2 linked regions of the Oryzias latipes genome follow. The protein of the gene in region 1 purifies or fractionates together with the protein of each later gene. This does not show direct contact. Links are inferred from orthologs where the notes say so. Each region holds a gene or a part of one and is shown on either strand. Other genes may lie near its edges.

Region 1 (3,726 bases):
CAGCAGAGGTCGCGCTCTGCGTGATGAGGGCACGTCAGTGGCAGGGCAGGACTTTACGTTCAGAGAACATTAAGTTCGCTGACGGAATATTTAACAGGAAGTTGACAGCAATCGTGTCAAAATCATTGAAGGATACAGATACAGTCAATATGGTGACACCCTAATGAACCAACAGCACGTATATCAACCGGAAACGGTTGGTTTCAGTGCGTCACATCTGTGTTAATGCGTTTAAGAAACAGATCGAACGCAAATAAAACTAAATGTCACAGGTGCCACTTTGCCATCGAAGTACATTTGAAAAGTACGTTATGGTACTAAAACAACAAACTACGCATGCGCCAAATGTCCAGAACATATGATTCGCCATATTTGTAGTTTTATACGTCACAAATGCTGCGTTCACTGAATCCCTGTAAATTATAGCGTTTTTGTTTCGCATAATAAATAAAAACAATAAAAACAACTGCACATAAGAGTCTTTATTTTGGTTAAATACTGTCAGATTTGGTGGATTTTCAAGTATACTGTTCACGTTCATATCCCTTTGGTCAATAAAGTTTTCTAGTATTAAATATTACAAAGCTGTTAAAGTGGTAAAGAAATGTGTTGTGATTAAACAACAGTGTAAAAGCTGTCTTTAACAATCATATCAACTACTTTTGATCAAGTATAACAGTATTATTATTGATGTACTCTGCTAATTTAGTTTAGTCCAAATTATATTATATGAAACGTAAAAACGTTAAATTTGACTTTTTTTAATGGGCAACTATTTTTCAAATTAACATGCATATTTTTATGATGTTTTTCACAAGAGCCGTCTATCTTCGAGTTTGAGAGACCTTTTCATCAGATCGTCCTTCTTTCGGAGCGCACCTGAAGGCGGCGTGATCTGGTGGCTGTTGAGATGATCTTTGTGTGAACGAAGCAGCACAACGAGCGCAGCTAGCAGCCCGCTCCAGGCAGACCCACTGACCAGAAAGACGCCGGGCCAGACGCGTTCCGTGGCCGAACATTACCGCTTTCTGCGATTATACAGCCACAGCGACAGTCTAAAAATGGTAAGAGGACGTTTTAGTTTTTGAGTTTTCACTGTTAGTGGTTTTTTTTTCCTAACGACAACCAGCTTAGCTTTGCGCTAGCTGCTAAAGCTAAGCGGTTAGCGAAGTGTTTTCCTGACTCATTATTGAAGAGCCCAAGAAGCTAGGCTGCCATTTTACACAAGGCACTTAGGACTCGATTGATGCCTTCTGGCACGACAGAGACGATTCTTATTAAATATAATAAAAGGAGCATATATATTTAAAGGAATGGCGGTATAAATCAAGTATCGTACGTAAATCTAAGGCTAGTTGTTCACACAGGGGCCAAACAGTGAGTCGGGCTAACAAGCTAATCCGAGACGGCTAATGAGTCTTAGCGGTGTTGCGTAGCAGTGTCAGACTCCGGTCGTAGCACACTGAACTATAATCACAACAGTGGTTGTCAACTTTAGTGTAAATTGTTAGATATCAGCGTATTTAGTTGGATTGTTTTCGCTCGCTGTCCGCCTCCCGTGTCGTGTTCGGACTCCAACCTGAAACACTCCAGCGCCGTTGAGCATTATTTCTCTGCCCAGGATGACGAGGTGTGGGTTGAATGCCAGACTGAATTTACAGCCCAGCCTTTGTGTCCAGCCACGTCAGTATTACGATCATTGTTAGGTGTTTTCCGTTTAAAACACCACTGGCTTGTCACCCCCTAATGAATGAACGCTTCATCACTTCCTGACAGGTTTTTATGACAGGTGAGAAAACTCGTTGGTAGTCTTCCATATGATGGGGTGTAGAAGTCCACCTCTTCATGTAAATGCAATTTTTCTTTTAAATACTTTGTTTAAAATATTGTTTCTTATTAAGACAAAGTTAGAAGTGGTTTTTGCTCTTGTAGTTGAGCTGAAGCCACATCTGTTTCATATGTTCTTGCTTATGAATAAATATTTGCTCTTTTCAGATACTTTGTTAAATTAAAAAATGGGATTGTTATAACTAGAGACCGAAATAATAGTTTAAATTCACATGAAAGAACTGTAAACATCTTAATTTGAAAGGCTTTCACACTCTTCCTTGCCCTGGATTATTTGATTAAGCATTATTAAAACAAATACCAAACGTTTTTACTTAAATGTAGGCCTTTTTCTAGAGACTGGCTTATATTTCCTTGATGTTATTGTTCTTTTGTATGGAAAAGACTTGGTGCTGTTTTGCAAAAACAAACTAGATTTTTTTCTTTTTTTAAGGTTTCAAACTTTTTCTGACTGGTCATATGGAAAAGTATATTTAGGGATGTTGTGTTCCCCATTTACATTTGATAGCTTGAACTTCCAGTGACAATAGATTACTTATTCAACGATAAACAAAAAAGATCATGGTATGTATGATATTGTATTCTGAAATTGCTTTTCCAAGCTTGATCAGGTTGGCATAAATTTTCTGTATTTCAAGGAGGTGGAGTTTTGATTATTTACTTTTAGTGAATCGTATGTAATGCGTGGATTAATTTACAGTTGAAACCAAAAATGTATATACACCACAATAAAACACATGCTTTTTTTCTCACCATCAGACATGACATTAAAGTACACTTTTCCTGTTTTAGGTAAATTATAATTAACAAAATTATTTCAATTTGCTAAATGTCAGAATAATGAGACTAGGTTTTGTTTTTTTAGACAAGTTTTTATTACTTTTATCAAGGTCAAAAGGTAACATACATTTCCTTAGTGTTTGGTACTATTGCCATTAAACTGCAGTACTTGGGTCAAACCTCTTGGATATCCTTTCACAAGCTTTGGTAGGAATTTTGTCCCGTTCCTCCTGACAGGACTGGTGTGAATGAGCCAAGTTTGTAGGTGGCCTTGTGTGTACACGCCTTTACAGCTTTGACCATACATTTTCAATAGGATTTAGGTCCAGGCTCCAAAACTTTATTGTCCCTAAGCCACTTTGTAACCAGTTTGGCAGTATGCTTCAGGTCATTGTCCTTTTGGGAGATCCATTTGTGCCCAAACTTTCTGGCTGACGTCTTCAGATGTTGCTTCAATATTTCCACTTACTGTTCTTTCCCTCATGATGCCATCTATTTTGTGAAGTGCACCAGTCCCTCCAGCAGCAAAACAAACCCACAAGATGATGCTACCACCCCCATGTTTTACAGTTGGGGTGGTGTTCCCAGGCTTATGTTTCCTCCAAACATAACGATGGTCATTGTGGCCAAACCGTTCTATTTTGGTCTCCAAAAATTAAAGTTTTTACCCTTGTGTGCTTTAGCAAACTTGAATCTGGCTTTTCTACGTTTCTTTTGGAGTAATGGCTTCTTCCTGGCAGAGTAGCCTTTCAGCCCATGTCTGTACAGCACTCGTTTCACTGTTGATAATGTCACATTCTTACCATCTTCAGCCAGCGTCTTTACAACATCTTTTGCCTTCGTCCTTGGGTTGTTCTGGACATATTGGACCAAAGTACGTTCATCTCTGGGACAAGGAACCCGTCTCCTTCCTGAGTGATATGATGGCTGGACGTTCCCATGATTCTATACTTGCGTACCGTTGTCTGAACAGATGAACGTGGCGCCTCCAGGCATCTGGAAATACATCCAGGAAAGAACCAGACTTGTGCAAATCCCCAATTGTCTTCCTAATATCTCAACTGATTGCTTTTAACTGTCCCATGATGTTTTACAAAC
Region 2 (3,752 bases), on another chromosome or scaffold:
AATTGACAGGGCTGACCCAGCAGTCAATATTGAATCCTTCTTATGCATAAATAGGCTGTAATGTTCTACCTAAACAAAGTGAATGACAGAACAAGACATTTTCTTTTTTTCTAGCATACATCTTTCTACTGTCTGCACATCTGTCTGACGGCCACTAGGTGTCACTGCAAATTAGCAGACGCCACCAAAGACCATTGATGAAATCAGAGGCCTTCCAGTCTCCATGGGAAAGTGCAGGCAGTCATTCAAACGCTGCAGCAGACTTCCATGCACATTTCAACCACAACGTACATCAGTAGCATGACTGCATGCTTGACATGTTGCAGCCTCGGCGCACCAGCAACCCAGACCGAGCCCTGCCTCCAGCCAACGCGGCCTTCAGGCATTCTGGTCATGTTCTCCCATTGTTACGCAACATCATGTCTGCAAGAACTTAATTACCAGCAGTTCTCCAGGTTGGACCGAGTTGTCTGTGTAGATACAGAGTTTCTCTGCAGTCAATGGTACCGTCTCCTTCATCTTAGATGCCAGAAACATGCATGTAGCTCCAAGCAGCTGGAGTCTGCTTTTCCTGGTGGGCTCCACTGATAAAAATCTGTCCAAATAGTTCATTGCCAACGGAAAAACCTCCTCCTCGCATTTCTGTTCCTCACAGACCTAAAAGAAAAAGAAAATAAAGTGTTTTAGAGGCCGACACTGGCATGGAGACATTTCTTTCTGTTCAAATGGAACAATGATTTCACTTTCTGTAAGCAGTCTGTCTTCCATCCTGCACACTATGATCCTCTCCAACTAATTTAGAAAAACTAAAGCATCTTTCATTTTTCGGCTTTTAAAATACGTGGAAAAAAATTGTTAAAACCTACAGACCAACTCTCAAGAAAAGGCTGGAAAAGCAGGTGAAAGCTGCAGCGGGAATGAGTTTACAGTCAGTTCTGACGGAGACACAAAGGTGGCGTCGACGCAACTTTCACTCCAATTTCAACTTCGTCATCTTTTCAAAAAACACTTTAAAATATTAACAAAAATCGCAGGCTGCTTATTTTAGCAGATACATGAAGCTGAAGGCGCGCCTGATCGGATGATAATGTCATTTGTCTTGTTTGGAGAACAAATTGGTTTTTATTTTTATTTTTTAGGCGAAGATTCTTCACGTGCTGCAGCCGCTGCTCGCACAGCCCGATGCCACATTTCAAAAATTAATTAAAAATATTTAACCTAAAGACTTTTGAACTGAAAGTTGATGTAAATGTTTGAAATGCTTCTGAGTATCAGATCCGACGGATCCGGTCCGTCTGCGCTTTGGATTTTCGAAGGAATCTGCGTTTTTTGGCGTGAAGTTCGTGGCCGTGGCTGCGCCTCCGGAGGCCGAACAAACTCCAGCTTTCGATCCCGCTTCAAACTTTATTCTCTTCTCGTGTCAAAGTCCGCGCTTTACCGGCCCGTTCCCCGTTATTTCTGTTAAAATGACATCATTCAAATCAGATCCCGAAGCTCCGCAAACACCGCAACAAAGATGGCGCGTAATCAGAAACTGGCACGCACCGGGCTGCATACGTGTACACCGGGAACGTTTCGCTGAAAACGTCCCGTTGGACCGAAACATCAGCTGAAATGGAAAAGAGCTGACGGGGAATGAAGTCGGCGGATGATCAGAGGCGCGCGGCCGAAGCCGAAGGGAGGCCAACCCTCACGCGAGCAGCAAGCCGCGTGAAGAAACTAAGCGGCGTGAGCGAGGCGCTCCAAACTTTGGCGTGACCTGCGGTTCCGGTCAGAACAGCTGGCAGCTTAGACGCACAGAGCTGATACCTCTAACATCCAGGTGGCCAGAATCTTCCTCATGTTGGGAGCGATGTCCTTCTGAACACACTTGAAGTAGTTGGGCGCCGGCAGGTAGTTTTCCTCCGCCTTCAGCATGGTCCGCAGGACGCGCTCGTTCAGCAGGTTGACGTCCTGGTGGGCTCTCCGGATGGAGTCCACCTCGCAGCACAGCAGCTGCTCCTCCATGGTAGCAGGACGAGAGCGGAGTCCGCCGGCGGTCCGGGCCGTGTTCCCGCGGGCAGGAGGCTGCACACACCAACTTTCAGCGCCCTTTCTTCTCGCGTGGCTTCTGCTGCCGCGTGCTGCTGCCCCTTCGGTCGCGCGAGCCCTCTGAGGGCCAGACCTCTCTGCTCTCGAAGACAAAACCCCCGATCCGTGCGCGCGTTGCGTGCGCGACCACGAACACGCGCGCACACAAAGTTGATCTGCAGAGCGCACAGTGGAGAGGTGGTGAGAAACGGTGGATGCGCGCGGTGACGTCAGCGGTTGTTAGGGCGGGGGGTATCAAAGACACATGCAGTCTGCTGGGGAGCGCGCGGAAGGGATTGTTTTATGTCCATATGTATGTGCGGGGGGAGGGCTCTGGTGGAGAGGTGGGAGGTCCGGCCCACCGGCGAACGCTTCCATCCTTTGGTCGGTAGGGGGCGGTGGCGATCCTACACCCCCCCGAACCCCCACCCCACCATATGTCTTCCTGGGATTGAATGAAACCGACAACATGAGGTTTCCACGAAAGGACAGGGACACGCCGTTTGCTCCATTCAGGAGATCCCACCAACCGTTGTGGCTGAAAGCAAACAGGGTTGGAATCCAAGCAGTCAGAGAGGAACCAGGTTCAGGGCGCGTGCACACTGCATCCCCACTTCAGACACATGAAACAGATTCAGGTCATTTCAACCAGATCAGCATCTTCTTTTAACTTCTGGAAGTTGCGAATCTCAGCTCGGTTGAAAACGTGACAGGAGCTGACTTTACCTCAAAAGATTCCTGTGAGACGTTCAGACAGACAGGAGGAGACTAGAGTCGCACCAATGGGAGGAATTGCTGTTACTAGGCAGATGTTGGTGTAACTTTCATGTAGGGAAAAGTTCATTGCTCTGAAAAAGTTGACCCTGATAACCCTCACAAAGTCCTTTCACACAAACTTCCAAGTCAACATTGCAGTTTTGTGTTTGTGGACAACTTCCTGATGCTGAGTTCACTATGGTAAAAAAAAAAAGAAGCTCTTTTTTCTCTTCAGTCTTATAAGTTGTAAATCAGGTAGAACAAGCCTCTTTCTGTCCTTTATTATACATTTAGGCACTTTAACGAAAATGTAAAAAGTACAAACAGAGCACTTTTTAATCCAGTTTCAATATGAATCAGAGCTTTTTGCATTCCTGAAATTCCACTTTGGGCCGTTTGGTTGACTACCGTAAAGCCTGAAGAGGGGGTCCATGTGCTGGAAGAGCTTAAAGTCACATCAACACATTCCCAGTCTCCTGCTTTTTAAGGACTAAACATCTGAAGTGAAAGTTGCTGTGTGACAAAAAACAATCCTCATTTACCTGTGCAGGAATAAAGAGCAGATCCCAGGATATACTGAGAAATCCTCTCAACGTTTATGTCTGTTCCTTTATTTTTAAATATTCTAAACGTTGTCTACTTTTTGAGTGTCCGGCTTTTGATGTTGTAGTTCATGCATTGTTGGTCTGAAACCGGAATCTTACCTCTGCAAAAGTTCTGATGGAATAAGGTGATGAACGTGAGCAACAGAATTTTCTGATTCAAAACATTTATTTTTAATAATTTAATGGAAAGGCTTTTTTGTGTGACCCCATTTCACAAACAAAATCCCCTTAATATCCAATTCTAATACAACTTTATATCTTTTAAATGTGCCCTCTGTTGTTACTTTTAAGACATTTTCTAAACTTTATCTGTTGCTTTTG

What was found. Proteins that work in one complex are often made in the same cells at the same time.
Region 2: the proteins of cul1 (region 1) and ccnd1 purify together in Homo sapiens (affinity purification with western blotting; 4 studies listed by BioGRID). This does not show direct contact. The link is inferred for Oryzias latipes from reciprocal best matches to the Homo sapiens genes CUL1 and CCND1.

Annotation. Positions count from the first base shown.
Region 1 is NC_019878.2:3,220,850-3,224,575, forward strand, and holds the start of cul1 (cullin-1), read left to right. Parts: upstream 1-907; 5' UTR 908-1,064; intron 1,065-3,726. UniProt on the Homo sapiens protein: Core component of multiple cullin-RING-based SCF (SKP1-CUL1-F-box protein) E3 ubiquitin-protein ligase complexes, which mediate the ubiquitination of proteins involved in cell cycle progression, signal transduction and transcription.
Region 2 is NC_019861.2:4,930,451-4,934,202, forward strand, and holds the start of ccnd1 (G1/S-specific cyclin-D1), read right to left. Parts: upstream 2,321-3,752; 5' UTR 2,008-2,320; coding exon 1,810-2,007; intron 658-1,809; coding exon 442-657; intron 1-441. UniProt on the Homo sapiens protein: Regulatory component of the cyclin D1-CDK4 (DC) complex that phosphorylates and inhibits members of the retinoblastoma (RB) protein family including RB1 and regulates the cell-cycle during G(1)/S transition.